5 linked regions of the Mus musculus genome follow. The protein of the gene in region 4 purifies or fractionates together with the protein of the main gene of each other region. This does not show direct contact. Links are inferred from orthologs where the notes say so. Each region holds a gene or a part of one and is shown on either strand. Other genes may lie near its edges.

The links.
Region 1: the proteins of Rnf7 (region 4) and Rab40c purify together in Homo sapiens (co-immunoprecipitation; 4 studies listed by BioGRID and IntAct, with this or other methods). This does not show direct contact. The link is inferred for Mus musculus from reciprocal best matches to the Homo sapiens genes RNF7 and RAB40C.
Region 2: the proteins of Rnf7 (region 4) and Asb7 purify together in Homo sapiens (co-immunoprecipitation; 4 studies listed by BioGRID and IntAct, with this or other methods). This does not show direct contact. The link is inferred for Mus musculus from reciprocal best matches to the Homo sapiens genes RNF7 and ASB7.
Region 3: the proteins of Rnf7 (region 4) and Asb1 purify together in Homo sapiens (co-immunoprecipitation; 3 studies listed by BioGRID and IntAct, with this or other methods). This does not show direct contact. The link is inferred for Mus musculus from reciprocal best matches to the Homo sapiens genes RNF7 and ASB1.
Region 5: the proteins of Rnf7 (region 4) and Spsb2 purify together in Homo sapiens (co-immunoprecipitation; 3 studies listed by BioGRID and IntAct, with this or other methods). This does not show direct contact. The link is inferred for Mus musculus from reciprocal best matches to the Homo sapiens genes RNF7 and SPSB2.

Annotation. Positions count from the first base shown.
Region 1 is NC_000083.6:25,915,789-25,922,964, forward strand, and holds the start of Rab40c (ras-related protein Rab-40C), read right to left. Parts: upstream 3,927-7,176; 5' UTR 3,864-3,926; intron 3,762-3,863; 5' UTR 3,719-3,761; coding exon 3,577-3,718; intron 1-3,576. UniProt on the Homo sapiens protein: RAB40C small GTPase acts as substrate-recognition component of the ECS(RAB40C) E3 ubiquitin ligase complex which mediates the ubiquitination and subsequent proteasomal degradation of target proteins.
Region 2 is NC_000073.6:66,644,562-66,648,061, forward strand, and holds the end of Asb7 (ankyrin repeat and SOCS box protein 7), read right to left. Parts: exon of another isoform or gene 3,365-3,500; coding exon 3,225-3,364; 3' UTR 4-3,224; downstream 1-3. UniProt on the Homo sapiens protein: Probable substrate-recognition component of a SCF-like ECS (Elongin-Cullin-SOCS-box protein) E3 ubiquitin-protein ligase complex which mediates the ubiquitination and subsequent proteasomal degradation of target proteins.
Region 3 is NC_000067.6:91,537,525-91,544,605, reverse strand, and holds the start of Asb1 (ankyrin repeat and SOCS box protein 1), read right to left. Parts: upstream 4,042-7,081; 5' UTR 3,794-4,041; coding exon 3,742-3,793; intron 3,716-3,741; exon of another isoform or gene 3,471-3,715; coding exon of another isoform or gene 3,431-3,470; intron 456-3,430; coding exon of another isoform or gene 451-455; coding exon 309-450; intron 1-308. UniProt on the Homo sapiens protein: Probable substrate-recognition component of a SCF-like ECS (Elongin-Cullin-SOCS-box protein) E3 ligase complex which mediates the ubiquitination and subsequent proteasomal degradation of target proteins.
Region 4 is NC_000075.6:96,468,742-96,474,291, forward strand, and holds the end of Rnf7 (RING-box protein 2), read right to left. Parts: intron 5,265-5,550; coding exon 5,217-5,264; intron 3,112-5,216; coding exon 2,993-3,111; 3' UTR 2,196-2,992; downstream 1-2,195. UniProt on the Homo sapiens protein: Catalytic component of multiple cullin-5-RING E3 ubiquitin-protein ligase complexes (ECS complexes), which mediate the ubiquitination and subsequent proteasomal degradation of target proteins.
Region 5 is NC_000072.6:124,805,758-124,812,289, reverse strand, and holds Spsb2 (SPRY domain-containing SOCS box protein 2), read right to left. Parts: upstream 3,373-6,532; 5' UTR 3,260-3,372; intron 3,064-3,259; 5' UTR 2,985-3,063; coding exon 2,321-2,984; intron 2,022-2,320; coding exon 1,891-2,021; 3' UTR 1,674-1,890; downstream 1-1,673. Other genes in the region: Tpi1 (triosephosphate isomerase), read left to right, coding at 323-408, 686-773, 903-1,021. UniProt on the Homo sapiens protein: Substrate recognition component of a SCF-like ECS (Elongin BC-CUL2/5-SOCS-box protein) E3 ubiquitin-protein ligase complex which mediates the ubiquitination and subsequent proteasomal degradation of target proteins.

The sequences.
Region 1 (7,176 bases), on a different chromosome or scaffold from region 4:
CAGCACCCACATGGTATCTCACAACTGTCTATTATAACTGCATAAGGACATCTGATGCCCTTGTTTGGTACCAGGTCTGGCACATGGTACACAGACATACACTCAGGCAAAATACCAATGTGGTACCTGCTCCTTAGACCTGTTCTGAGTTCAATCCCTAAATGCTCCACAAGGGTGAGAGAGAAAACCAACTCCCAAAGCTGTCTTTTTTTCCCCTTATTTACTTATGTTTTTTTTCTTTCTTTCTTTCTTTTTTTTGGTTTTTCGAAACAGGGTTTCTCTGTGTAGCCCTGGTTGTCCTGGAACTCACTGTCTAGACCAGGCTAGCCTTGAACTCAGAAATCTGCCTGCCTCTGCCTCCCAAGTGCTGGGATTAAAGGCGTGCACCACCACACAGCTCTATTTAGGTATTTTTGAGACAGAGAATCACTATGTAACTCTGACTATCCTAAAACTCACTGTGTAGACCAGGCTGGCTAGAACTCAAGAGATCCACCTGCCTCTGCCTCCTAAGTACTGGGATTAAAGATGTGTGCCACCATGTCCGGTAAAAAGCTGTCTTTTGACCTCTGTATGAGGACATACACACACCATTAATAAATAAAGTACTTAAAAACTCCCCCTGGCTGGGCAGTGATGGTGCATGCCTTTAATACCAGCACTTGGAAGGCAGAGGCAGGCAGATTTCTGAGTTCAAGGCTAGCCTGGTCTACAGAGTGAGTTCCAGGACAACCAGGGCTACACAGAGAAACCCTGTCTCAAAAAGCCAAAACATAAATAAAAAAATAAAAATAAAAAACTCCCCCTGACTCTGTCACTTAGAGAAATGGAATTCAACCCCAATGAGAGGCAGCATGGAGTAAGATTCCCATAAATGGTGTTGACCAGTGGGTCACTAATCTGACACCACAGCCCTGCCTGTAGCAGGGTCTTCACAGCATGCTGGGACACAGGCACATTATCCTCACTCTCTCAGGTGAATGCATCATCTGATGCCACAGACATCTCTGTAACCATCAAATCCCAACATTCTCGGCAATGCCCATCGTCAGCATCACTCCACAGCTTCCTTCATAAACACTAACTCCCAAAGGAACAGAGAAATGAAGGAGCACCCATGGACCCATTAACAGGCCATGAGCATATAAACCACAATGGATTTTCCTGAAGGATCCAACACTTAGGAGTCTTTGTATGAGCTAGGACGAGATATAACTGTCTTACAATGCCCATATCACAAACAAGGACAGTCTTGTGTGCTGTAGTAATAATGTTTCCTGGGTTCAAGGGTAACTACCCAGTTGGCTGGCTTGAGGCCAACAGGGACCTATCATCCCAATGCCACATATCAGAACCAGAGGCAAATTTATTTGTTTTATGCTTGTGTGTAAAGGCTGTTCCCCACCCCCGCCACACCCCGCCCTGTCCTCTCCCACAGCTGAGACTCCACAACGCCTTTTCTCTGGAGCATAATTCCACCATGCATGCCCAGATGAAGCTCTCTGAAAATGTCCTGTTCCATCCAGAGAGGAGATCACTGCTGCTGGGCACAATCACTGTTGTGTCTTCAATGCCCTGATGTTTCTAACTCCACAGAGACCCTAACCACAAGTATTTAAAGCACCAGACCAGAGGACTCCTGCAGACGCTGGGCATGTGGCCACAGTACTGTCACTGTTTCAGGTGTCAGTGCTAATCAAAGAAAAAAAAAAGTCGTTTTGATGACTCACATGTTTGTAAAGTCAGAGAGAGCGATGTTCACACCCAAGGAACAAGCTAGACCAGACGTTGAGACAGGTAAATAACCCAGCTGGGATCAAGAAGGAGATCAGGGGCCAATATGGAGCAGCAGACTCCTTCCCAGGTGGGGACTACCCTGCTCAGAGGAGCCCTGGACCTTGAAAAAAACCTAAAAGTGAAAATGAACGTTCTCTTTCTGTTTTCCAGACATGGTTTCTCTGGGTAGTCACGGCTGTCATGGAACTTGCTCTATAGAACAGACTGGCCTCCAACTCAGAGGTCTGCCTGCCTCTGCTCCCCAGCACAGGGACTAAAGGACTACACCACCAGCACTTGGCTGACATGCAGAGGATGTTTAATAATGGTGAGAGAAAGGAATCATGCGCTTATCTACTTAGAGAACGAGAAGTCCAGCTCTTTCAAACAGTAAATACACACTGTGCGCACACTCCAGAACCAGCTGCTTTACCACTGCTAATCTCTTCTCTGAGGAGGCCCAATGCTCTGACCCAAAGGCCTGATATCTGTGCTGTATGCATGTCAACCCAGCATGAGAACCATGCTGTTGAGGCTGTTTGCCTCTGTGCTTCACACTGCTGGACCCACACGGGCCGTACAGCTTGTGCATCGTGAAAGCACTGGGTGGGTGAACAGTGCCCATGGTAAGTCTCACACCTCTGTACTCTTTATGTGCTAGTGGCCCCACTTCGGGTAGCACGTCATAGGAAATCTGGCAAGACTCCGTTGACAGAGGAGAGGAGGAAAGAGGATCCAGCAGGAGGCTGTGTGGATATGTGGTTGAAGCTGATGGGGAAAGGAAGAGTGGAGCAGGGACAAGCAGTCTCTCCAAAGCACAAGTTAACACTAAGCATTTCTGAAGCCAAGCCCAGCCCTTCCCACACTCCCCCATTGGAAAGGTAACCCCCCAAAGCCTTTCTGAGCAGGGCTGTCACCCTGGGACGCCCAGTTAAATACCAGTCAAGGCTGCCTGGCTGTGCAGAGGTCTTTTCACATACCCTGCAAAGTAAAACCATGACTCTTCCTTTCCTGCGCTGAAGATGCCTGCTGTGAACTGAAGCTGAGAGGTGCTTGGGGAGGACTTACAGAGAAGATCCAGCGCTACTGTTCAAAAGGAAGGGTCCTCCACTGATGTCCTGGCAGTCATCACCCTTGACAAGTCCTAACTGCTAAGAGTGGTAGATGTCTTACCTACACACTCAGCTGTTATTTACCAGACCGCCAGTACTCAGAGCAGTAAGACAGGGCTAACAAGACCCCAGAGAATGAAGTAAAAAAGCAGAGTAAAAGGGACTCGGGAAGCGACCAGGAAGGTAGAATTAGTCCAGTGATATAAGATGACAGGCCCACTGCACATTAATTCCTCCGGAGTCAGCAGCCCCTGTGATCCAATCCCACCCACTGTTAGCTACGATTTTACCTTAAATATCTAAATTAAGAGGCAAGCTCAGGCAAGTGCCAGTGATGCAATCTACCTTGTGTATTTTTTGCCATGCACCCGGAAGTTAACAAAAATCACATCGCAGCAGACCTATTTTCTCCCTGCACAGGGTGCGGTGTCTCTGAGCAAACCCCTCCGGCGGCAGTGCGGTGAGCACCGGGCCCGTCGTGCGGTATCTGCCGCGCGGCCCATTCCAGGCCCTAATGGACTCCAAAGACCTGCTGCTGTGACTTCTTAGTAGCCACCAGGACCCGCGCCCGCTTGCCGACGGCTCCTCAAGGCAGGGCCAGAGGATACCGCAGCGACACGCGCAGAGGCCGCCCGCTCCCGCGACAGGCCGCTCCCACCTCGCGCGCCCACAGCCAACCCCGGCCTACCGTTGCTGTAGGCGTACGGGGATTCAGCTGCGCCGTCCTGAAGGCTCTCCAGGATCTCGCCTTTGCCCACGTCGCTGTCGCCCACCAGCAGGAACTTGAGCAGGTAATCGTAGCTCTTCACTGGACTGCCCTGGGTGCCCATCCTCCCGCCCGCCGCACCGCGGCCCACGGCACCGCCGCCAGACCTGCGGGCGAAGGCTGGTGAGCGGCCGTGCGGTCAGGACGCTGATGCTCCCGCCCGCTGGCCACCGCCCCCAGTGCACCCGCCCCGCTGCCGCCAGCTTCACCTCAGCCTCCTAGCCGCCGCCGCCGCCGCTGCCGCCGCCGCCACCCGCCGCTTCCCGCACGGCACCGCGCAGCCCCGCAGCCCCGCCCCCGGATGCGCCGCCGCCATTGGCCACCCTCCGCCGGCCCTCTCCGGGCCATTGGCCTGGCAGCCTGGCCGTCACGGTCGCCCCGCCCCCACGTCGCCCCACACAAGGTGCCGCCCAGCCCACGGTCGCCCCGCCCTGCCCACTCGCCACTGCTACTGGCCCGCTGCCACCCTCTTTCTCACTTCTGTTGGTCTACATGCTTGTCTATCACTGAAGTCCCGTCCCCGCTATTTCGTACACAGTGTTGCTGAGGCTGGCGTTTTTCCCCGCCTCCTCGCTGTGACCATTGGCTACTTCCCACTGATTTTCCGAAATCATTGGTTGCTCTTGCATGTCCATCCCAACCCCTACTGCTTCCTGCAGGATGCCTCAGAGCCATAGTAGCCGGGCACCGACCTGCAACATCCTGGCCTCCCGCCCCCTCGTCATCACCATTGGCTACTACTGCTAAGGCATTTGTGCCATCTAACATCGATCATAACCTCCTAGGCCCACCCCTTTCCTAATTCGGGCCAATCAAGAGTCAAACATTACACAAGTCTACCCTTCCCCCCTCGTGGACAAGCGGAAGGGTAGAGATAACTCCTGCTTCAGCTGAGTCCCGGGAGGAGGGTGTTGGAAGGGGGCAGGTTATCTATCAAGCTGCGTTGGCCGGCCGCTCTCACAGAGACCCAGAAGGGAAGTAACAAAGTTCGTCGTACACTGTGGGGCTCGCCTTCCCTGAGGGCAGGGCGGGGACAGCCACTTAGTGTTCGCCCTGGAGGGGCAAGCCTCTCTCCCTTGTGGGCTGTTCCAAGGGGTGGGACTTCCTCCTGGCTGCGGAGTGGGCGGGGCCGCTACTGAGTGTTTTGGCACAAGGATGGCGGCTGAAGTCCACCTCTGAGCTGTCTCTTGTGGGGGACATCCTTCCCAAAGCGGATCCTGAGGGCTTGGACCAGCGACTGAGCAGCGTTGGCCCGGTGAACTCCAGGATGGGCAACGCATTGCATGTGCACACTCGGTCGGCCAGCTCCAAGGCTGGAGGGCCACGGACAGCGTTCTTGGTTAAGAGTGCATTCACAAGTCACATAAATAGCAAAAAATTTAAAACGTAAAACATAAGCCGGGCGTGGTGGCGCTCGCCTTTAATTCCAGCACTCGGAAGGCAGAGGCAGGCGAATTTCTGAGTTCGAAGCCAGCCTGGTCTACAGGGTGAGTTCCAGGACAGCCAGGGCTATACAGAGAAACCCTGTCTCAAAAACCCAAAACCAAACCAAACCAAACAAAAAACAAAAAAAACCGTAAACATAGATTGGGACCAACGCTCTTGCACTGTAAGCCTAACAGTATGAGTTCGATCTCCCTCCGGTGACTGACCATCTGTAATCTCCATCTAGCTCCGGCTCCTATAATAAGAAAGAAAGGAAGTAAAGATAGGAGAATTTGTCCAGCAGTTCAAGAGCTACCTGGCCTGGTGTAAGCCCATTTTAACAGGGGGAAAGGCTGCAATGACTTCTGAAAGTTATCCTCTGACCTCCACATACCTCCACATGCTGCAGTCACACATATACTGTACCTTGGAACAGTTTTTACACAAACTTCCTGAACATTGTCAGATAATAGATAAAGTGTGTGTGTGTGTGTGTGTGTGTGTGTGTGCATGTGTGTGTGCATGTGTGCACGCAGAGGACCCGGGTTCAATTCACACATGGCAACTCACAACTGAATTCACACATGGCAGCTCACAACTGTCTGTAACTAGTTCCAGATCTGACACCCTCACACAGACAAATGTGCAGGCAAAACACCAATGCACATTTAAAAACAAGTATAAGAAACTGATAAAATGAGGGATTGGATGAAGAGTTGGTTTAGAAGTTCAGAGCACTCGTTGCTCTAGTAGAGGATCAGGGTTCAGTTCCCAGCACCAACTTGTTAGCTCACAGTCATGACTCCAGTTCCAGGCAGGGATCTGATGCCTACTTCTAACTTCTCCAGGACCAGGCACATTCTTGGCACACTTACATACATGCAGGCAAAACAATGAGACACATATATCATTAGAAAACAGATGGCAAGCAGGTGTGTTGATATGGTGAAAAGTATTACCCATAAAAAGGTATGAAGACTGGCACAAGAATGAATTTTTTAAAGGACTTTATTTATTATATGGAAGTACACTGTTGCTGTCTTCAGACACACCAGAAGAGGGCATCGTATCCCATTACAGATGGTTGTGAGCCACCAGGAGGTTGCTCAGGACCTTCGGAAGAACAGTCAGTGCTCTTAACCACTAAACCATCTCTCCAGCCCCAAGAATGAATTTGGACAGGGCATGTAAATCCCAGTACTGGGAAAGCAGAGGCAGGCCAATCTCTGAGTTTGAGACCAACCTGGTTTACAAAATGACAGTCAATCAGAGCTTGTTACACAGAGGAACCCTGTCTCAAAAACAAAATGAAACAAAAAAACCAAAACCAAAAACCCCAAAACTCTGTGATGGCAGAAGTTTATAAGCCCAGCTGCTTGGGATGTTGAGACAGGAGGCCAAGAAAGGATAACATCAGTGCCGACTCGGTGCTGCTCCTTCACATGACCACTGAACACAAGTCTGGGCAGTGTGCCACCAGTGATGAGGTGCCCGCTGAGCACAGATGTGTCCACAGCTGACAGCTCTCCTGGCTGCTGGGAAGGCAAGGACCTCCTCCTAAGCAGGTTAGGTGGGTGACACACGCCTATAGTCCTAATACTCGGGCAGGAGGATTGCCATGAGTTCAAGACCAACTTGAGCTACATGACAAATCCAGGTTTACTGAAGGTACTGGATAGATGGCTCAGCAGTTAGGAATGGTTGCTGTACTTGGGCGGGATTGGAATTTGGCTCTCAGTACCACAGCACATGACCACCTATACAACTCCATGGTCAGGGGATCCAATGCCCTCTTCTGCCCATCTGAGCACCTGTACTCACTCACAGTCATGTCAACAATAGACAAGCAGGGTGAAGCTGAGTTGCCATGTGTGGTGGCCACAGAACTTGAGGGAGCTGTGACTGGACAAGCATGTGGAAAGGCCAAGAAGTCCATTTGACTCACATACTGAAAACTGTCTCTTTAGCTGTGTGACCACTTCAGTGACACTATTCAGTTGGTTTTCCCAGATTGTACAGAATGGGAGTCATTGGACAATCCCTCAGGAGAAAACAGACTGAATTAATCAATCAGTGGATGTCAGGTTAGCACAGACT
Region 2 (3,500 bases), on a different chromosome or scaffold from region 4:
GTATTTTTTTTAAACCAGATTTAAGATTTTTTTTTTTAATTCAAATCGACCCAAAGCAAAACTTACGTTACAAAGAAAGAACAGAATATATTATGATACAACACACTGGGAGTTACATGAAAGCTAAATTTGTGGGCAAACAGCCTTGTCCCAATTCCACCCTGGGCTAACAGGTGATTCAGTAGGGAAGTTAGAAACTCTTTCTCATGGTCCACTCTGGCCATTAAGCTACGCTTTCCTGGTGTCTTACGAGGGAGGAGTCTGACAGGTCATGCTAGTCTCCCCCATGCTTTACAAGCGACTCCAGCCACTGCCAGAGTGCTGACCTCTCCAGCAGAATCGTCACTCCAAGCATGACTGGTAATGAATTAAAAAAAAAAAAAACAAACAATCAAGTCACCCAAACTAATAAGCAGGGGTTATTCTGTAGTAAATAGTTTAGAAATATGGGAATTAAATAATCTAAAAAAACACTCTTAACTCTGCTGTACATTTATAAACACAAATATTTACAAAGAAACACCCTTGTTTTCAAAAGATGAGGTTTGCAGTTCGTTAATGATCATATTTTATGAGCTGGTTTCTTTGGTGTATTCGCCAAATGCATTTTATAAAGTTTTAGTAATAGGCTTAAATAATAAATTTCAAAAGAAGCGCAAAAGACTCAGTGTGAATTTTGAGTCAACGGGCTGTGTTATGAGGGGCTGTTTTCTCTCCTAGGGCCACAGACTGCTTCTCTGATAACAAATTCAGGGGCAGACCTGCATGGTCACCACAACCACATCAGCAACTGGACAGCCCTTCCGTTACCATAGAATACAGCACAGGACTGGGGTCTAGTATAAACAAAGGACATTCTCTCAAGCTTCCAGATAAATCAAACCACAAACAATAAATAATGGAATTATACACTTCTTCATTAAATAGAATTTTCAATTCCTGGAAGAGCACTCAGAATTGTTTTTGTTTTTTTGTTTTTTGTTTTTTTTTCTGAAGTCACAGCAGTAAACAGCACAAAGAATTTGCCTTAATATGATCTTTTTATTTGGGATCCCCTGATTCAATTCGATTTCAGTGGCTTAGTTCAGAACCCTCTGAATGGCTGGAAAGTGAATGTCACTTTTAACTTACAAAATAAATTAATTTTCATGTATGATTCCTGTGCAACTGGACACTAATATGGCAGCTCAGAGTCCAGACTCTCAGCTCTCCTCCCACCACTTTCCATGCTGGGCTGGGGCTCTAACACAAGTTACACTCAACTAATTTCTGGTCACTTTGTGTCCCTAAGGCTGGTAGTGTGTCTCCAGCCCTGACCTGGGGCCTGAATAAAGACTGAGAACACAGCTTTGCAGGTGCCTTAGAAGGGGACTCTCCATGGAGGTAACCTTTCAGCCAGGGTCACCACAGCCATCCCTATCTTCCTGGGTCCCAGCTATCACTCTGGCCTCATGCTCTCCCTGAAGGAGGCTATGGGCCACATCAGCAAGTCCCTGAAGCATCCTTTTGCCTGTTCAGGAATCCCTGTGCCACCTAGGCACACGCAAACCCAATGTTCTGCGGTCACAGCTACTCTGGCCAAGACGGCAAGCTTTGGGCTTGAGTGAACAACACTGCTAGCCTGAACTCAGGGAAACCTAATTCTGCTTAATTATGTTAGGAGGGGAAGACTTTACCCTCTATGCCTTCAAACTGGCAATTCTGACAAGAAAGGAGAAGCCCTTATCCTGCAACCTTTTGATAGCAAATTTATTAACAGTTTATAAATATTTAAAAAATTTGTCACAGCACTAAGAATGGCATGGGGAACTTAAAAGGGGGTGTCTTCAAACTAACATAACGTCAAATGAAGCAGTGAGTGTGTGTCCCCAGGAACACCCATGATGCCTAGGGCCTCTGGGCCCTCCCCCTTGTTACTAACACTTTACTACATCCGGGTCTTTCTTGCACATACTTGTCCAACCAACCCAGAAAATTAAAATATTTGTCTTGAAGAGCTTTACTGTACTCACCTTCAAAATAGACAGGAAATACTTAATTAGCGTATCAGCAATTTGCCAGGCTTACAAAAGGGTGCCCATTAGAGACTTTCCCCTTAAAATATATATGTATACATATTACCAGGAAGGCAAAAAAATCCACCAAGAAACCACCCTGAAATATTTAGTCATTAAAGTAGAATGGTTTAGCAAGAATGTGGGCTATTTCTAGGGACCTCTGTCATCACCAGAATATGAAATTTGTTCTTTAAGGTGAAATAAAACACAAAGTTTAAGGTGGAAACTGAGGTGATCCTGGTGGCCTGCTGTGGGATGGAGGTGGTGATGATGGCTCCAAGGGGCACAAGGAAGCCAACTGAAGAACAGGAAGAGCAAACCATCCAGAGACGACACCAAGAGAGTTGCACAAGAGGCACCATTTTTTGTTTTTGTTTTGTTTTTTAAAAAACAGAATACACTGGCTTTAAAAAGTTAATTCCTTTCCCCATTGATTTTGTTTTAAAAGCACAATTCAATAAGAGAGGGGGTGGGGGAGTTGAAACACAATGTTTCAGGGTAGTGTCTTACAGTTGTTAAAAAAAATAATTTAAAAAAAAAGCGCACACCAAAGGAAGCCGAGGTCCTGGGTTGGTTTTTTTCATCGGAAAGCTACATTAATTAGAAGGGAAAAAGGATTTTTAAACAGCTCATCTGTACTCATTAAAAATGAATGAGGCGACAGCATTACTGTAAGTTTCTTCACAGAGAATTTTCCAGCATCACCCAGGATCACAGGAGGTGAGCCTGAGACCTCCAAACTTTAAGAAGTATTCCGTCTACTGGTTCCTAGTACCGTGTTCACCAATGAAACCAGAGCATCAAAAGGGAAAATTCTCTGCTTCAAACCTGTCTATATTGTGCACTTAGGAAAAACAAATTTTCTAAATGCAGTATTGTATAGAAAGGCTTGGACCTCATCGACTTGGACCAAGAAACCAAATTAAGACCTTCAAGCGTGGGGTGTGTATGTGTGAGTGTAGACACACACACACACACACACACACACACACACACACACACAGATCCCTCCCCCAAATGAAATCCAAACAAACATAAACCTAAAAGTGTATACCTGCTTTCTGACTTGACCGCAAATCAGAAATTGCATAGGATATACTTTGTGCAAGGCCTGAAGCCTTTTAAGTATCTGGAATAACTCGTAATCTTGTCCACAGTCCAGGTGTATCAGATATCATCAAATTTGTGTTTTAAGTAGTCTTTCATGACCTTGGCAATTGGTAGCTCATCAAGCAGCTTCAGGTTTTGAAGGCCTATACACTGTCGAATTTTAATTCGGCACAGGTCCTGCAGGGTTCTGGGCTGTCCTAAAATGACAGAGAAAAGAGAACGTTACAGAGGTACAAAGCATTGGAGAGGGAGGGATGTGAGGGAAGGCATTGTCTGAGGAAGGGTCTACTGTGGATCTTACAGTCAAAGGACTGACCGAGATTCTCAAGTGTC
Region 3 (7,081 bases), on a different chromosome or scaffold from region 4:
CAGCCAAGGCTGCAGAGTGGGATCCTGTTTCAAATAAAATAAAATAAAATAAAATAAAATAAAATAAAATAAAAAACATTGAGGAAACTGATGCTCACATAGGACAAGTTACCAGAACAATTCCAGGCAGACTTGGCTCCAGGAACCCCTGCCCACTGCATCTGGCCACCTATAATTCCTCCTTTTGTCCCTCCTCTAAAAGCAAATTGCAGTCCTGCAGCATCAGAGTCTTGTTCTGCAATCCAAAGCACAAGCCTCAGCCTCCTGCAGGCCCACAGGCCAACACCCATTACCGGCCCAATGCTCACCTCCGGTAGCTCTCCTCTTGCAGTAGGTTCCTGAGGGTCTGGAGGTCCCCTACATAGGCTGCATCATGGAGTCTTGTATCGTCACAGTGCTCCAGTGGATGGTCACAGAACTGCTCCCTCAGCCACTCCTTCAGATTAGGACCTGCACTGAAGAGAGGGGCTCTTATCAGGGTGCGGAAACACTGGCAAGGCTGACCAAACAGGATGCTTTGCCTTTCTCCAGTGGCTCCCTCCTGCTAGCCACACAGAGAACATTCAAATTCCCAGAAAATAATTTAAAAGAGAAAGCTGGAAAGTTTCCCTTTTTAAACTAGCACATTCCTGACACCAAACCCAATAAGATTTTTTTTTTCTAAAAAAAATAAAAGAAAAAAATGTGATGGTCTGTTGAACAAGGAAAAATATAACAGTAGTACAAACTGAAGTTTGAAATATTATGCCAAAAAAAAAAAACCCAGCATGAAATTACTCTAATTTATATCATGTATGTAAGAAGATGTTTAAATTGGGGCATTTGAAAGGAGAATGGTAGTCATCTCCTTTACTGTAAAAATAGCTGGTTAGCCAAAAGCCAAGGGCCAAGCAAGGGTTGTTTTCCTGGAAGGTGAATGAGTTCCATACCACACTGCTCTGTAAAATCGTCACAATGTGTCTTGATAAGAGACAATTCAGCAGAGTACAACTGTCCCCACAGTGTTCATGACTGTGAACTAAACACATCTCTTTTCTTTATAGTTAGACTATCTCAGGGAGTTTACTGTATCAGTGAAAATGAAATAACAAGGAATAAGCCTCAAAGGTATACCTTTATTTGTTTGTATAGAAATTACAGTTCAAGAGTCTGGAGAGATGGCTCATTTGGTAGTGTGTGCCACACAAATATAAGCCCTGAAGCTCAGATCCCCAACAACCATATAAAAGATAAAAAGCCAAGACCAGTTACACATCCCTACCATTCCAACGTGGGTAGGAGAGGCAGAGACTGGAGGATGCTTAGGGTCATGGATCCCTGGGCAGGCTGGCAGCTAGATTAGCCAAATACATAAGCCTTGATTCAAAAATAAGGTGGAGTAAGAAAAACACTAAATGTTGACCTCTGAGCTCCATACATACACACACACACACACACACACACACACACACGAGAGAGAGAGAGAGAGAGAGAGAGAGAGAGAGAGAGAGAGAATCATACCTCAATAAAATAGAAAACTAAAATATATGTGCATAAATACAAGTCCAACCTATACAACAAAAAAAATAGAAGTGAATAGAAAGACTGTATCATGTACTAGGATGAGATTCAATATTAGAGAAATTCTCAGGGTTCCCTATAAATATAATGTATCCAGTTTCTTCAGAAATTTGATATCAGATATACCAAAATGATTTCAAACTTGTATTTGTAGATATACATAAGGGAAAATAGCTTTTGTTGCTGTTTTAGTAAGAATAACAGGTGGAAGGAACCCTACCATACTAGATAACAAAACTCTCACCAGACTAGAAAGAAAACAAAAACAAAAAGCAGAATCAATTCTCCAGGAAGACTTTAATCTTAATATAAACAGCTCAACTGTAATAAGCAGGCATAAAATCAGAGTGAGACATACAGCCAGTGGAAAGTAGTTGAACAATTAATCACCTACTTGGAAATACATCTTTGCTCACATCACAGCCCAAACTAACTCCAGGAGACTGAAAAGCTTTATTAAAAGCATTGCACCAACAGGTGAATAAAGACAGCACAAATTCTAACTGCTTGGATTCAAGTCTCCCACCCTGTGGGGATGTCCTAGCATGTTACCAAACATATCCCTTCACAGGCAGGCTTTTTCTAGTCGCTGATGTGTTTCCATATTTGAATACAATATCCGTTGAGCCCCTACAGATTCTCCTATAGGTACACGGTGGTGACGACTAAGTATCCTTGCCCTCTGCGGCCTGAAAGTCCATTGACTGGGCTGAGACCAAGGCAGCACAAGGTTCACAAAAACCTATTCGGTTCACTCTGGTGCACAGCAGACCAACAGGCAGGCATCTATCTAGCCTGGAAATGGATCTGTAAGGCGCTTCCAGGTCCTCCTTTCATCACTGTAACTACAGCACAGTATAAAAATTTAAAGCCAGAGTTGGGGAGGATTCAGATGTACCGGGTAACTGTTAGGAAAATGGCTGGCACCAGAGGACTTCGGAAAGTCTCTGGACCCCCTTAGCTCACCTCTCCTCTACACTCCCAGCCCAGGCCAACAGACCTTCAGAATCTCCTCCAGTTCTAGAGCCGAAAGCCATTTCAATTTCGGACTTCTCTGATCATCTAATCCAACTACCCACTGAAGACCTGTGCCTCTACCCAAGCTGGAAACACACAAACAGAACAGACACTAAAACAACACTGGGGTCGGGGTGGGGTGCAAAACCACTTTTTCTTCCACAGGACTATTCTGTACCTTAAGAAATAGCTACCCTTTGACCAACCACCTCTCTCCCATTTCTCATTCCTGCATGACAGGTCAATCCACTCAAAGATCTTGTCTGTCCCTGAGATCAAATTCAATGACAACCAAAGCTCTTGGTGGTAGAGGCCTTGCCTTGCTTTTTCATGTCACCCCGATAGCCCCAGGTGAGTCAGGCCAATAGGACATCATCCACAAAGTTTGTTGAATTGATGGAGGGAGGAATGACAAGAGACTGTACCAACATTGTGGCTTTCTCAGATTTTCTGCATACAGAAGAGAGCTCAGTGAACTCTAAAATCAGAGATGGGTGCAGAAGCACACCTACCAAACACCTACCAGCAGGTTCAGAAAGACCCCAAGGTGGACGCCGTACCAGGAAACTCTCCTGGGAATTGTTAGTTCCATTGTAGCAGCACTGCAAAGTGGAGCAGCTTTAAGGCAGGTGGCAAGTGTCACCCTTTTTCTGCAGGTGGGTCAAGCGCCCCTGTAAGAGTTGTGGCACTAGCAAGCTCTCTGGGGACAGCACTGTCGTTAAGGTGGGTGGAGGTGGGGCGGAGGACGTTTGTCCAGTAGCTACTGCGCTGACTGGCTGGCGGGATGGGGAAAGGGAACCTGTCCGCACGAAGGCTGACCTCTGAGGGCCCTTACTGACCAGTGAGCTCATACCTGGAAGAAGATCCGAACCCCATGGTCCAGCCAGGGTCATCGCTGACGGGGATGGGCTAACAGGGTGGCAGTTACAAGGCTAGCTCCACCAGAAAGAAACCTCCGTGGGAGGGATGTCCACGAGAGGCCAGGCAGGAGCGGGGGCGCGCGCCTAGGGCCGCGCGGAGCCTAACGTCCACACTTACTGACCCCGGGCGCGATTCCTCGGATCTGGCCTGCGAGGACCGAGGACCCGAGTCCCGGACGCCCAAGGGACACTCTGACCCCAAGACGCAACCCCGCTCCCTACTACCCCTAGCCGCGCACGTTACCTGCGGGTCCCGGGCCGGCCCGTCCATCGGGGCCGGTCCCGCCCTCCGCCATGCCTACTTGGTCCTCAGCCTCCGCCCTGACCCCGCCGCCTGTCCACCTCCGCAGCAATCCTGTCAGAGAGCAACGCTGTCAGAGAAGCACCGCCGGCGTTTCCGGCAGGTGGGCGTGTCCAGGGCTCGGCTTCCGGGGAGTATGAGCCTCCTTTTCGTACTTCCTGCTCCGGACGGAGGGTGCTGGGGTCTCCACTTCCGGCCTGGCTAACGGACTTGATTGCTGATTAGCGGGGTTGACCAAACTGCGTCTCCCGAGGCAACAGCAGCAGCTTCTGGGGAAACGCCTTTCCTCTGGGGGCGGAGGCTTATTTGCATGCCTCAGGAACTCCTGGTTGGTCGATTCTGTTCCCGCCCACTGGAGGGCGGGACGTGGGCGGGACCGTTACGGCCCAGTGGACTGTGGTCCGCTATCGCAGCGGCTGAAGGGTGTTGAGTGACGTGGGGCTGCGCTGCTGTCCTTTCTACGAGACTCCAAACGGTGCCTTCCGAGTCGGTGACTTGCAAAGTTGTGTTAGACGAAGGCAGCCCAGAATGTCTCCATGGAGCCAATAGTGTCTGTAACTTGGTCAAGGCGTGTTGACAGAGTGGCTTTCCCTCAAGCACTCCCGATTTTACATCGGTCACACTGTGTGCGTTGCGTTACGAACAGTTCTTAAGCATGGACGCTGTCGGGTCCTTTCATTCTCCTCTACACAACTTAGGGAAGGTACCTTGCAGGGGGAGGACCCCAGTGGACCGGGGGGAGACCGCGCCTTAAGGAGACAGAAGCGCCCCGCTGTCCTGTGAGATGGAGGCAAGGCCACAGTCTCCAACACCGCGGCTGTGACTTGTCTGCATCTTTGTGTGGTCATGGCACACCAGCTGGGAGCTAGCGACTATAGGTGCCCAACAAATCCTCGTGCCCAGACTGGCTCAGTTGCACAGGTCTGTGGAGCTGTGTGAGGCATCCTGGAACAGAGCCACGGGCTCTGAGGGTTTTGAGGGGAGCGGGGAGATTCCTGCAGTGGTGTTTGGTCTTGATAACACCGTTGGCACGAGGGACAGGTGACACCAATGACGCTGCAAGGCAAAGAGCCAGAGGTGGCTCAGCCTTATGGCTCTGCTCCACGGCTGCACATCCCTGGCTGGGATACCTCAAGGGTAAAACCACCCAAATGCGCATCAAAATGTGGTGTCGTGGCCATCCATATATCCTTTAAAAAGCCTCTGCCCCAGGTTACAACATGGCCAACCCTGGAGGATCTCTGCTCAGTGAAATAAGCCAGCAATAACGAACAAATAATGCACTCTTCCACACATAGGTCACTAAAGGAATCAGCTTCGGAAACAGAGTGGAATAGTAGGTGTCAGTTTGCTTCCAGAAAAGGGAGTGTCACGGGTGAGGGGACAGAGATAAAACTCCAGGCTGTCACCCTAGCCTGAGAACTTCGTTGAGACCAAAACTCAAGCAAAACTGGACTTACTGCTTTGGCTCGGGAAAAAAAAAATTTGTTAAGACTAATGGAAGCAATGTTGAGGTTTTATTTAAAATACTTTAACATTAGACTTTAACCTAAAGACTTAGAAGAGAGGTACTATGGAAGACACACCCAAGTATAGCTCCTCAAGGGAGTCACAATCCTTAGCACTAGCTACTATATACACCATTTTGATGGCTCTCAACTTAGATCTCAAGAGTACTCAGAAACTAACACTCTCTCTCTCTCTCTCTCTCTCTCTCTCTCTCTCTCTCTCTCTCTCTCTCTCTCGTGTTTGTGTGTGTGTCTATGAGATTATGGGGTGGCTTCAGACATACCTTGGATGGAATTATAATCTGATAAAGCCAGGAGCCACTGATTGCATGAGTTTTGTGCATGTCCATTTCCTGTAAAAGTTTCTAGTGAGAGTCCTGGAAAATTGCAGGTGCATAAGTGCGGAGGGAGGAAAGCTTTAAGCAGTTAATTGTGCTGGAATTCCTGCTTCTCTGTTGGCAAGAGGCTTCAACCAAATTCCTCAGTAAAGGTAAAGGGCTCCTCTTCCTCCTCATACCTCCATGATTTGCCTTTCTATTCTATCTCAGGAGGAATAGGAAGTGAATACTTTTTAAAAGGGGTTTGGGGGTGGGGTAGGGCAAATGGAGACAAGATCTTACTAGCCCTTGGCTGGCCCAGAGCTGATATGTAAATGAGTCTTGCCTTAACTCATTGAGATCCACCTGCAGTAGCTTCCCAGGTGCTGGGAAAGTATACAACCACAGCTGGCAGAATTATTTTTATATTTATTTAAAGTGTGTGTGTGTGTGTGTGTGTGTGTGTGTGTGTGTGTGTGTGTGTGTGTGTGTGTGTGTGCGTGCGCGCGCGCGCGTGCGTGCGTGCTGGGAGCACCATGTGTGTGCTGGTGTCTTCAGAGGACAGAAGAGGGATTAGATAGCCTGGAGTTGGACTGACACGCAGTGGTGAGCTGGTGCTGGGTGGAGTAAGCCGGCCCTCAGCCTACATGAACCGGGTATTTCTGGAAGGCAGGCTGGGGCTGAAAGAGACTTAGACTGCAAGAAAGGAATAACGAAGCCAAGACAATTTTTCTCTGATCAAGGCCCACTAGTTTACTAAGAGAGTGTGCTTATAAAGGGGGAAGGCCCATCCCCACCCCCACCTCCACCCCCCCCCCCCCAGGCCATTCTTGGTGCCTAGAACCATTTTGTCAGCACTTGGTCGCCAGGCTGTTCAGATTGTCACCCAGACATTCAGGAATGTCTCAGGAAGACAGGTTCAGCCTCTCGGCAGGTAGCAGAAGAAAGAGCAGGGAAGTTGTCACTTCAAAAGGAGCCAGCCAAGTCAGAAAGCTGCCCCGCAGGTGGCCGCACCTCAGTGGTGACAAGGTCTGTACCAGCCCGCTTCAGGCTGGGGGAGGCTACCGCTGGGTGCTGGGTGCTGGGAACTGAACCCTGCTCCGCCCGTGCTCCACCGTGCATCATCTCTCCAGCCCCAGAAGTTAGTATTTTAATGGGACAACATGAGTTTGGAAAGATGAAAAGATTTGGGGTTGGTTATACTGTGTTTACTTATAGTCATAACTATAAATTTAAAGTGGCTAAATTATAAAGTTAAGATGGCTAATTTTATATTTTATCAATTTTTTTTTTCGAGACAAGATCTCACTGTGTAGCTCTGAGTGTTCCAGAACCTATTGTGTAGATCAGGCTAGCCCCTGAAAGTATAACAACGTAAAAACAGAATTCTAGGCCTTTAGGCCCAGTTGGGAATGTGGCCTTTGTAAAGGTATGCTAATCATAAAACAAATAGCGACA
Region 4 (5,550 bases):
AGGAAAGTAACAGTCCTGGGCTCTCAAACAATCCAGTGATGCTGGAATACCACGCGTGGAACCTGAGGCATAGAGAGGAGAGGTGACAAATCAAAGTCAGCTTCCCCCACCCCCCTTCCCCGCCAACTCCCAGCTATTATTAAAAATATCAAACTATAGACGTATCTTTTCCCTGGGGGACATACTTTGCTGTACAGAACCTAGCCACAAGAGAAAGGATGACATAAAGGTGGTATGGTGGGTGTGGTGATACAAGGCTTCAAGAAGGATCAAGAGGTTGGGGCCAGTGTGAGCTACAGACCATGTAAAAGTGCTGGAGTAATAACTTCATGCAAACATCGAACATTTTTAGTGTTTTGGCACACCATTAAAATGTTTAGTACAGAGTTTAGAATACAAACATTTTGACTTTAAGTACTACGTACATTCTTTATATCCAAATCTGTAACCTTTTCCCATGGTTTAACAGGGTCTCTCTATATAAGCCATGGCTATGATCCCCCCATCTCAGCCTCCCAAGTGCTATTTTTCACAGGACAACATTTGGCTCTACAAAACCTTCTTTAGGGGAGTACCGTCACTTGAGCAAAGGCAGTAAGTGTTCAATCCCCAGCACATAGAGAACCTAACCTTTTAAGGAAATTCATTCCTTTGCTCTTCTGGTGCCTCTAAGAGGCGGTGGCAGTGACATATGAACAGCCCTCTGTCAGTCACTTAAAATTGCTCTTCCAAGGAAACCAGTCCTGCCTCCCAAAACAAGTTTTAGAAGTGTGAACTCAGCTGGGCAGTGGTGGCGCACGCCTTTAATCCCAGCACTTGGGAGGCAGAGGCAGGCAGATTTTGGAGTTCGAGGCCAGCCTTGTCTACAGAGTGAGTTCCAGGACAGCCAGGACTACACAGAGAAACCCTGTCTTCAAACAAACAAACACAGAAGTGTGACCTTTTTTGAATTGGATGGTGGGGAGAGCTGGTGGTGTGGGTGGGGCAGCTTATGAGGTGGTGGGGACCACGTGACACAGAGGAGCTCACTTCACACACCACTGTACAGCAGGGAACTACTCATGACAAACGGAAGCACTGAACTGCTCTTTATATATTTTATAGTTTTAAGATAAAAATCACTAATATGTAATTACAGACATTAAATATCATTTAATTACTTGGAGAGAAACCCTGCTTAATGGTTCTGGAACCCACAACTAAAGTGCCTCTGCATGTTTTTTTCCTGGTAAGAGAGTATGTACGGAACTCAGGGATGGCTGTGCAGATGAGGGCTGTCTTGCCAGCAAGGGGGCGGGGAACAGAACTAAGCTTGTTTCACTCCCCCGCCCCCCTCTACCCTCAGATCCTGACCTGTAGCAATAAACAGGGCTTTGTTATGAGTCTCACTGGGTGGAACCCTCCAGAATCCACTTATGAACTGTCAAAGCCACCTATGAACACGATGGGGGACTACTCTCTTTACAGCGAAGCTAAACACCTGGTTCACACTCTATGAATAGTTAATTACACAATGACAGGCACATTCAAATAACTGAAAACATTTGTATACTTTTAGTACCTAGAAAAATTAGAAAATATTTATCTGAATGCCTTTAGTGGATCTGACAGAAGCAAAAATCTCAGAGAAACCAAATTAACAAGAGCATAGGCGAGGAGGCAGCGTAGTGCGCACCTGTAATCGCAGTGATTGGGAGGCTGGGCCGAGGCCTGAGGCCAACCTCCATTCAAGTTCAGTCCAGCCAGGGCAGTGAGGGGCGGTCTCAAACCCTCCAGAATTCTCAATTTGAATTTTTAGAGTCTCTATGAGTATTTGTCCCCATGTATGTGTATCTCCATGTTTATATGGGCACTCTGTACATGTAATGCCCACAGAAACCCAGAGGATGATATTGGATTCCTTGGAACTGGAGTTACATAGTTGTGAGTGGCAATGAGGGTGATAGAAAATCTGGGTCCTTTACAAGAGTAGCAAGTGCTTTTAAACTGCCAAGCCATCTTCCCACCCCTGATTTTCTTCAGGGTTGGGCTGCCACGCCCAGCTCTCTCACATGAGTTCTAGGGACTGAAGTCTGGTCCTCTGACTCACATAGTATTTTACACACTGAGATATCTTCCCAGCCCTACTGGAAGAGTCTGATAAAATTTTTGTTTGCATGTTTCCAAGCAATTTTTACCGCCAAATAAAGAGCATATTAATTTTTTCAAATTATTTAATTGATGAATTAGTTTAATGATTTTAAGAGTATATATCAAACTTTAATAACTCAAAGCACAATATTTTATTAAAACATTGCATAATGAACTTCAGTGTTATACTAGTAAGCATTTTCCTACTAATATTTTGACTAAAACATACAATACAACCTTCGCAAAAACAGAAAACAGTTCTTTAGAACTAAGTGGTTGAACAATCCAGGCTTCCTGGCCAAGTCAAAGATGGAGAAGTCAGGAGACAAAGCCGTTTACCCGACAGTTACGCCATATTACAGTTTACCCGACAGTTACGCCTCTTCACTGAGTGCAGGTTAAAATCCTCATTCACAGCAAATGAAGACAGCAGGGTGGCCTCGCTTGCCTCTCTCCCAACACAAAAAGGATTAGGAGGAGTCGGCTTTTCAATGCATTTTATTTGTTACTGTAACATTCGTTTATCTATTTTTTAACCCTCAAGCATAAACACAAACAATGTTCTTCTGTGAACACAATGTTCCCACAGTCGTGGGTACAGATAAACAAAGATCATTTTCTGGTGTTCTCGCTCTTCTATGCATTCGTATCACACACACACACCAGAGGTAGGAAAGGCCATTTTTAACAAATTATCTTAATTGTAGAGAATTTCCCAAAACTAAACAGACAAATTAATAAAGCAAGCCTTTGGTGAGTCTCAAAGGCGCACAGCATCCTCTCTCTCTCAAGGATGAATCCCCTGCAGTGTTTAGTCTTTGTCCAGGGTCAGCAACCACACCAGGAGCGCCTGGGCCACCTCTCATTTGCCGATTCTTTGGACTACCCAGTCCTGCTGGCACAGAGGGCAGCGATTGTTCTGTTTCACCCACAGGGACATGCAGCAGTTGTGGAAGGAATGGTTACACTCTCCCCAGACCACTGCAAGAGAGAGAACAGCTGAGTGGGTGGCTGGGCCTGTGATCTGAGCACCAGGCGGGAGGGGCTCAGACCCAAGCCACTTGTTACAAAGCAAGATCTGTATTAAAAATCAGACAATGAAACAAATGTACAAACAAATCAGCTGACAAGACAGTTTAATTTAAATAGCTAAGTTCAGGGGGACAGGAAGTTAGGAAGGGACACATGGAGGGGATGTCAGGGGAGTGGTAGGGGCGAGCAGGGGGTGGGCAAAATCAACATATATTATATAATTATATGCTTATATGAAATTATCAAAACAAAAATTGTAAATATTCTAAAATTTTAAATTACTAAATTCTAAACTATAGTTTAAAAACTAAGAAAATAGTCATGACTCGTAATTCTGAGAAAAGTTGGGTAAGTGATCAAAACATGTTTTTTTCTATTTACAAAAATATTTAATGTGCCACTGTGTTTTGGGGGTGAAGCCACAATCCTAGATCCTAAATAGCTCCACTGTCTTAAATTAGGAGATTAAAGGGACCTGAACCTGCTAGAATCCCAGACCCCTCAGTCATGGGGCAGGCATCCTTAGGGATCTTCTGTGCTTTTATTGAAAAGCATCCTTCCTGGTTTTCATTTACCAAGATAGTGTTTTACAACTTAGCGTTGGCTATTAGAAACAGATGGTGGGCAGGACCATTAGCAGCTGTATACCCAGGGAGCTGCTTTTCTACAAGTGAGGAGTCATGCTAAGCTACCCAGCGTGGTGTGTGCACACCCTATGGTTCCAGATCACTGAAAGGCCAGCCTTGTCTACAGAGCAAGTTCCAAGTCAGGGCCACACAGTGAGACCAAAACCCCAAACCAGGTAATCAAACCAAAAGCCACCATGCCAGCAAGCGGTGTAGCACTTCATTTCACAATCAGATTTGCAGAGTGGCTGGAGAGAGGCATCTCTCTGAGCAGAGTTCTTTGCTGAGACAGAGCCTTGCTACACATATAGCCCAGGCTCCCTAGAACTCACTACAGAGGCCATGGTAATCACCCTGCCTGAGTCTTGCTTGCAGGGAGCTGGGATTACAGATGCAAGCCACCATGATCAGGTCTTGAAATGTTTCTTCTTTCCCTCCCTCTATCCTCCTACTTCCTCCTTTTCTTGTGTGTTTGAGACAGGGTTTCACTGCACAGCTGACTGGCTGAATTTGCTATGACAGACCAGGCTAGTGTTCAACTGGCAGTGATGCTTCTGCCTCTGCTGGGGTACAGGTATGTGGCACCAGTCCTGGTTCGGCAGTTTTCTTAATAGGAGATAGTATTTCTTTTTGCTTAGCAAAAACATTTATTATGGCTGGACAGTGGTGGCGCACGTCTTTGATCCCAGCACTTGGGAGGCAGAGGCAGGCAGATTTCTGAGTTCAAGGCCAGGCAGGGCTATACAGAGAAACCCTGTCTCGAAAAACCAAAAATAAAAAAATAAATAAAAAAATATGACCATAAATAAAATATATAACCAAGTCTTAATTATAATAAAAAAAGAATTTGCAAATCTATTTTATTAAGGTCTTTTGAGAAATAAAACATTTTATTATTTATTAAAAAGATGTTTTACCATGAGCCTTCTGTTAGAAGACTCCCTTTTAGTTTTAATCCTGATTTTGTCTTTAAAACTATTTTTATAATTGTGTGTACAGGACGGGAGGGAGGGGAGGTGCATGCCACAGCTTCATGTGCAGGTCAGAGGCCTTTGGGAGCCATCTCTCTCTCTATCTTAAATGGGTTCCAGAGATCAAATTTAGTTCACAGGCTTGAGAGGCGAGAACTTTTGCCTACTGAGCCATCTCCCCAGCCCCTAACATTTTATATTCATAATTAATCACTGCTTTCTGATTTCTGGTTTATTTTTTATGTACTGATAAGCCTCCACCCCATCCCACCCCTCCCCCAAAACAGGTCTCAATACACAGCAAAAGCTGGCCTCAACCTTGCCACTTCTGGATTTACAGACCTGGGTTACCACAGCGAGTTTAATAAAGCCAATTTTAATTGGAAATTCAAACATTCCCACAGAGACAGAAGAAAAACCTTGAGTTGCAAAGGCAGGAGAAAGAACGACCACGCACCAACACAGTCCTCTTGCTTGTTTTCAGCTTGACATCGAAGGCAGGCATCTGAAAGTAAACAAAGCCAATCTCGTCTCTAGTTCAGGAGGCCACTGAAGACCCAGACCCTCAAAGCCAAACAAAAGCCCCGAGGATCAGAGATGAAGAGAAGTCTTATAATATTAACTTCTCATCTAAAAACAACTCTTTAAAGAGAAATAAAATAAATGGCATTCCACAACTCACCACGGTTTTACAAGGGCAGTGATGATGTTACAAGTTCTTATGACAAAATAGCTTGGCAACTGCACTAGAAGAAGTCACCCGAGACAGAGATGCCAAAAAGGTTATTGCA
Region 5 (6,532 bases), on a different chromosome or scaffold from region 4:
CTGAATGGTTCTTGTCACTGTTCCTACAGAAGGCTCAAACCCCACCTTCAAAAGCTAGCAGGGTCTGTGGGTAAAGCCTGAGGCCCTGAGTTTGAGTCCTCCAAAGACAGCCACGTGGTAGGAAAGATCCAGCTTCTACAAGTTGTCCTCTGCCCTCATATGTGTGCTATAGCTTGTACACACGCACGCGCACACACGCACGCACAAGTTGTTTCTAAAAGGGGGAAGGAGAAGCCCACCAGGGGCTGTAGGCCATAACTGTTATAACAGGAGAGCTTGGCGGGTCAGCTCCTTCCTACTCACTCTCCTCTCTGCCCCACAGATAATGTGAAAGACTGGAGCAAGGTGGTCCTGGCCTATGAACCTGTGTGGGCCATTGGGACTGGCAAGACGGCAACCCCTCAGCAGGTAACTACCCAGAGCTCCTCAGCCTGTCCGGCTTTAACAGACTCACACAGCTATGGAGCCCATCCAAGCCCCTTTAGAGACAGAGGGCCCCCAAACTCACCAAGGAGAGTGACTTTGCCAAAAATGTTCATTCCAAGCCTGGTGGGATTGGAGCCTTGCCACTCTCTGGTCCCGGGGCTTTTCTGGAAACTCAACTCTATGTGAGAACCAGTGGTTTTTACTCCTTGAATGATAGATAGGAAGGAGCTTACTTAGTAGCTCTGCCTCCTCCTTCTAGGCACAGGAAGTACACGAGAAGCTCCGGGGATGGCTGAAATCCAATGTCAATGATGGGGTGGCTCAGAGCACCCGGATCATTTATGGAGGTGAGTGGCTTTGGCTCTAGCTAAGACGGAAATGGGCTAAGACAGACTGAGGCTGCCTTGCACAGAGAGGTGGGGCTTAAGTGTTCTGATCATAGACCTGACCAAACTGTCTTCTTGTTCCTGGTACAGGTTCTGTGACTGGAGCAACCTGCAAAGAGCTGGCAAGCCAGCCTGACGTGGACGGCTTCCTTGTGGGTGGCGCATCTCTCAAGCCTGAATTTGTGGACATCATCAATGCCAAACAATGAGCACTGCCCATCCCTCTACCTGCCTGCATAGCATGGACTAGGTTGCCCAGAAGTTTAGTAACTGCTCCCACCGGTCACATGCTTCTGATGACATCATCTGCCCCATCTTGTGGCCTAATCCACGCTGTACCCTCCTGAGCCGTTTCCACCGCCCTATTATGGTTGGGACCAGGCCAATCCCTTTACCACTTACAGTGGGTAGAATCAACTGTCACCAAGGTGGCTCCTAGTGAGGGGAGGGAGTAGAACTGACTGTCCCTTTGGGCCCTGACAAGTGAAATCACCTTCCATTGGTTTGGGCTGGAAACTCATGGTTGGAGCACAGGAAGTGGGCTTCGTGTCACTTTGGCCTGTCACTTAGATGGCCTTGGCTCTAGCTTCACTCCCAAGTTCTACTGGATGTCTGATGCAGAAATTCAGAGCTTTCGGGTCTGAATTCGGTATACATGAGACCCTAAGAGGCCTGGGATAGTCCCCTCCCCCACGGTGCCAAAGCCCCTGTATTGTGTTTGTGAACCATCCTACATGTAAGGGAAATAAACACCTGGGCCTGAGCTTTGTGGGTTGTCATAATTCCTTAAGACAGTGATGGGGCTCTAGCCTGGGGTGGGGGAGTGTAAAACAAAACAAAAAACAATAATGAAACAGGTTGTGACAATACATCTCATTTTTTACTTCAAAAACCTCTTTGTCCCAGGCTGCCATGGTGTTTAATATCATTTCTATATGTCTTGCTCCTGTGAGAAGGGGAGGTGAAGGGGTCCAGCCCCCCCCCCCCAGCTTCACCAGCTTTTTAAAGTTGTCTAGGCCAGCGGGTGCCTCTCCACCTGTCCCCACGGTAGGGTGCCAGCACACCCTGTACTACTGGGTCATTTGTAGAGCAGATAGCGCTTCATGGCAGGGGGCAAAGGCAGAGTGGATATTTGACCCAGCCGGGTGTCCCCCAGAGCATGGCGCACACACAGGCGGCTCAGGTGCAGAAGGGATTGTGGTTCCTCCACTGCGGAGAGAGAAGGAAGACAAGGTAAGTAAGCAACTCCAGGCATCCTTGAACTTGAGATCCTGCTCAGGCACCCTTCCTTCTTCCTCCATTTCCACCGCCACCTCAGCTGAGGGAGACCCAAAGGCTCTGAATTTGTGCATCACATCCAATAGGGATTGGGAGTGAAGCTAGATCCAAGGCCATCTAAGTGACAGGCCAAAGTGACAAGAAGCCTACTTCCTGTGCTCCAACCATGAGTTTCCAGCCCAAACCATTGCCAAGAGTAGTGATCTCCCCACACCTAGTCCGTATCTCACCTCTTCTTTCGCCCATGTAGCGGATGCGGACCTGGCACTGGCCCCAAACAGCACTTACAGAGGGATAGAGGGTCCTCCCCTTCAGTCCACGGAAGGCTGGTCCCAGGTACGTGCCCCCAATAGAGTAGCCAAGAGTCCCCTCCTCCATGTCCAGAACCACCAGCAGTCTCTCTGGCACCACTAGCTGCTCACCCTGAGGTCCAGCTGGATACTGGGGGGCCTCGAGGCCCTTACTCTGATGATACAATTTTCCCCGCCCAATATCCCAGCCCCAGGACTCGCTGTTGCTGCCCAAAAGCGCCGCATAGTGGTCAGCCTGCAGCGGGGCGAGGGCGGTGGCCACGCCCACCACGGCGTGTGTGCCCCTTTGCTCCAGGGGCCAGCTGATCTCCCAGGCGTGCAGACCTCTCGAATAGCCCCGTTTCCCCCGGACTCCATCAGTGCTCTGGGCCACAGGGCGCCGCTCAAAGCACAGACCCCCTTCCTTGACATCGATGTTCTCGGAGCAATCCTTGGGGTTCCAGCCGTGGTGCCGTTGGGCAACCAGGTCAGGAGGGGGAGCAGACAGGAGCTCCTCCAAGCCCTCGGGAGGAGAGAAGTCCGAGTACAGAGCCTGCGAGGTAGGGGTGCTGCTGCTGCCCCTTGCCAGGGCCGTCTGGCCCATGAGGAGAGCCGCTGAAGAACTTCTCAAAACAGGCTTGCTGGGGCGTCTCGCTTTTGAAAGTTGAGCTCCGGATCGTCCCCTGGAGTGGTGTGGAGACAGAAAGGACTGTTAGGCGCATCATCTTTCCCTAGGACTCCCATCCGTTCACCGGTGTATGCCAACCAGCCTGGTCTTCCCTTGGTCCCCTAACCATCCCAGGTCTATCACTCTGCTTTCACCCTATCTGTGTCGCGCCCCCCAAGTTTCTCAGGAGCTCTCTCTCCCTCAGACCTTACCGTGAACCGTCCCCTTGCTGGCTCTAACGCCGGGCCCCTACCCCGCACCTCACTGTCCCCCTAGCTCGCAGAGACCTCTGTGGAAGTACAGATAGGGAAGGCTAGAAGCGCCCCTGACCAGCCACTGCTTCCGGCTCCAGCGGGGCTGCGGACGCCCGCCCGCGCTCCGCCCCTGGGCTCTGTGGACGATTAACCCTATCGTCACCTCCCAGACCACGGCGGCCACACCACTTACCGCCTTGAGAACCCACCGGCTACAAAGAATCCAGGCAAAAAATAAGTGACGACTCCAGACGTGGACAAGCGCGCATGCTTTGTGGAGCACACTCTTTGAGTGGGTAACCTCTTGTCCCTCCCAGGACTCCCTGGCGTCAGACTCTTCAGCAGTTTATTTTTCCAAAGCCACCTGACAGCTGCGTGCCCCACCCTCCCCCCCATCCCAGACTAGAATTAACCCTTTGATGACGTCATCGCCTTGGATTCTGTGTGTGTGTGTGTGTGTGTGTGTGTGTGTGTGTGTGTGTAGACTTCTCCACTGGAGACCTTTGCTCTCTCTGCCTGAGCTAGTCATTCCTGAGGCCCTAAGATCAGTAAGCGGCCTTGACACCCTTCCTGAACTCCTGCTCCTGTGTTCAGGAGAATGTAGGGATTGAGACTACTGTCCCCTGCGGCTCCCTAGGTTGCTGAAGCCTTAGTCCTTCATCCTCCTGCTTCAGCCTCCTGAGTAATGGAACTACGAGTGGGCACGCTGTCTGGTGGATGTGTGCTTTAAGGGTTAGTTTTGAGTGTCGTTTGATCATTAGCTACATTATCATGGAGAGGTTGCTGTTGAAGTTTGACCTCCTCGAAAGCCTCTTGATAACAGTTCAAAAATCCCAAAGTGGCTGGGCAGTGGTGGTGCAACACCTATAATCCCAGCACTTGGGAGGCAGAGGCAGGCGGATCTCTGAGTTCAAGGCTAGCCTAGTCTACAGAGTGAATCTATGCCAGGGCTAGACAGAGAAACCTTATCCCAAAAAAATCCCATAATGCCACCGTGTGTGTGTGTGTGTGTGTGTGTGTGTGTGTGTGTGTGTGTGAGAGAGAGAGAGAGAGAGAGAGAGAGAGAGAGACTGTAACCTCTGCTGGCCTAGAACTCCCTATGTAGACCACGTTGAACTCAAACTCACACTGATCAGCCTGCCTCTGCCTCCTGAGTGTTGGCATTAAAGGTGTGTACCCTGTGCCCAGCCTAATTTTAACCTTGTTGTTGTTGTAGTTATTGTTGTTTGGATGGCTTTGAAATAGTCTCTTGTAGCCCATCCTAGGACAGGACGGGCTCTGTAGCCAAGAGCTGGTCTTGAATCCCTGTTTCTCTTAGCTCTGCTTTCAGATGCTAGGATTCTAAGGGTATGATTCATACCCGGCTAATTTTAACTTAATTCTGATGTGAGGCTGCTGAAATGGCTCAGCAGTTAAGAGCACGGCTGCTCTTGCAGAGGACCCAGTTCAGGTTCCCACTCCCAAGTGGAAGCTCACAAATGTGCATAAGTTCCAGTTCCAGGGAGGTTGGGTGTCTTCTGAACTGAATGTGGCATACAAACTGTGCTGTGTAGCCTTGTGTCAGCTTGACCCAGAACCTAGAGTTATCTGAAAGGAACGAACCTTAATTGAGAAAATGCCAGTTGGACATGGTGCTGCACGCCTTTAATCCCAGCACTCAGGAGGCAGAGGCAGGTGGATTTCTGAGTTCGAGGCCAGCCTGGTCTACAGAGTGAGTTCCAGGACAGCCAGGATTATACAGAGAAACCCTGTCTCAAACAAAAACAAAAACAAAAACAAAAACAAAAACAAAGAAAGAAAGAAAGAAAGAAAGAAAGAAAGAAAGAAAATGCCTTATAGCCAGATCTAGTGGTGGCATTTTCTTGAGACAGGGTTTCTCTGTATAGCCCTGGCTGTCCTGGAACTCACTCTGTAGACCAGGCTGACCTCAAACTCAGAAATCCACCTGCCTCTGCCTCCTGAGTGCTGGGATTAAAGGCCTGCGTCACCACTCCTGGCTTAGGCATTTTCTTAATTAGTTATTGATGTGAGGTTGGGGGTGGGGCACGGGGGAGCCCATTGTGGTGGTGCCATCCCTGGGCAAGGTGGTCCTGGATTCTATAAGAAAGCAGGCTGAGCAAGCCATGGTTGTATATATTTAAATCCCACACTATTAGCCCTAATAAGCCAGCTTTTCTTCCAGATTGATTTTTTTCCCCTTTTGGTTGTTTTTCAAGATAGGGTTTCTCTGTGTTAGCCCTGGCTGTCCTGAAACTTGCTCTGTAGACCAGGCTGGCCTCGAACTCATATATCCGCCTTCCTCTGCCTTCCGAGTGCTAGACCCAGCTTCTTCCAGATTCCAGATGGTTGGGCTGCCTTTGATTGGGTCCTGTTGTAAAGAGACAAGGTACCTTAGTGTGATGCATCCTAACTGAAAAAAAAAACAAAACAGATCTAAGCCACACAGAGAAAGTCCGCACTGGGCTCACTGGAACCCCAGTTCAGTTTCCATCTGACAAGCTGGCCACACTGCCCTATTTAACCAGACCCCTGTTGAGTTCGTGTGCAATATGTCTGTTATAAAACTCAACCTTTTATTCTCAGAATAGACTATTCCAGTTTTTACAGACTTATACGGAAGGTTTAGATTCAGTTAGCTTCAGCCTCGCCAGAACTAAAGCGCTAGTAAAAATGGGGTGGTGTGGAGGGGAGACTAGAACACCTGCTGAGAGACTTCTTTATAGGACAGAGAAGCTGCACCGGCGACATTGCAGCAATATGGTTGCCTAAACAAGGCCTGAGCAGTGACACCACCAGGTGACGCCAAGGAGGAGGCGGAAAATCATACAAGGCCCCGCCCCTAGATGAAGAGCTGCAGGCAGTTAATGGCTGCTGAGAGAGAATCAATGTTCCTCAGGGAGGAGCCCTCTTACTTGGACTTTCCAACACCACAGTGCTCAGTCCTAAAACCATATTCATTGGAGCAACACTGAATTAACTCAGCAGGTTGCGTTTATATGCTTATACATATTAACAATTAAAAACAAGTAGTATTATATAATGTGTAACGCAAACCAGAAACGATCAAATCTGAAAAGGAAGCCTATTTTCCAAACTCACCAATAAGGATGAAATGGCAACTGGGCTGAGGTTGAGAAACTTGGATTACTGGTCGCCCATAGGCCCCGCCTCCGGCCCCGCCCCCACACCCTTGGAGCTAGTCCCGTAACCAAGGCAACGAACGCACTAGCT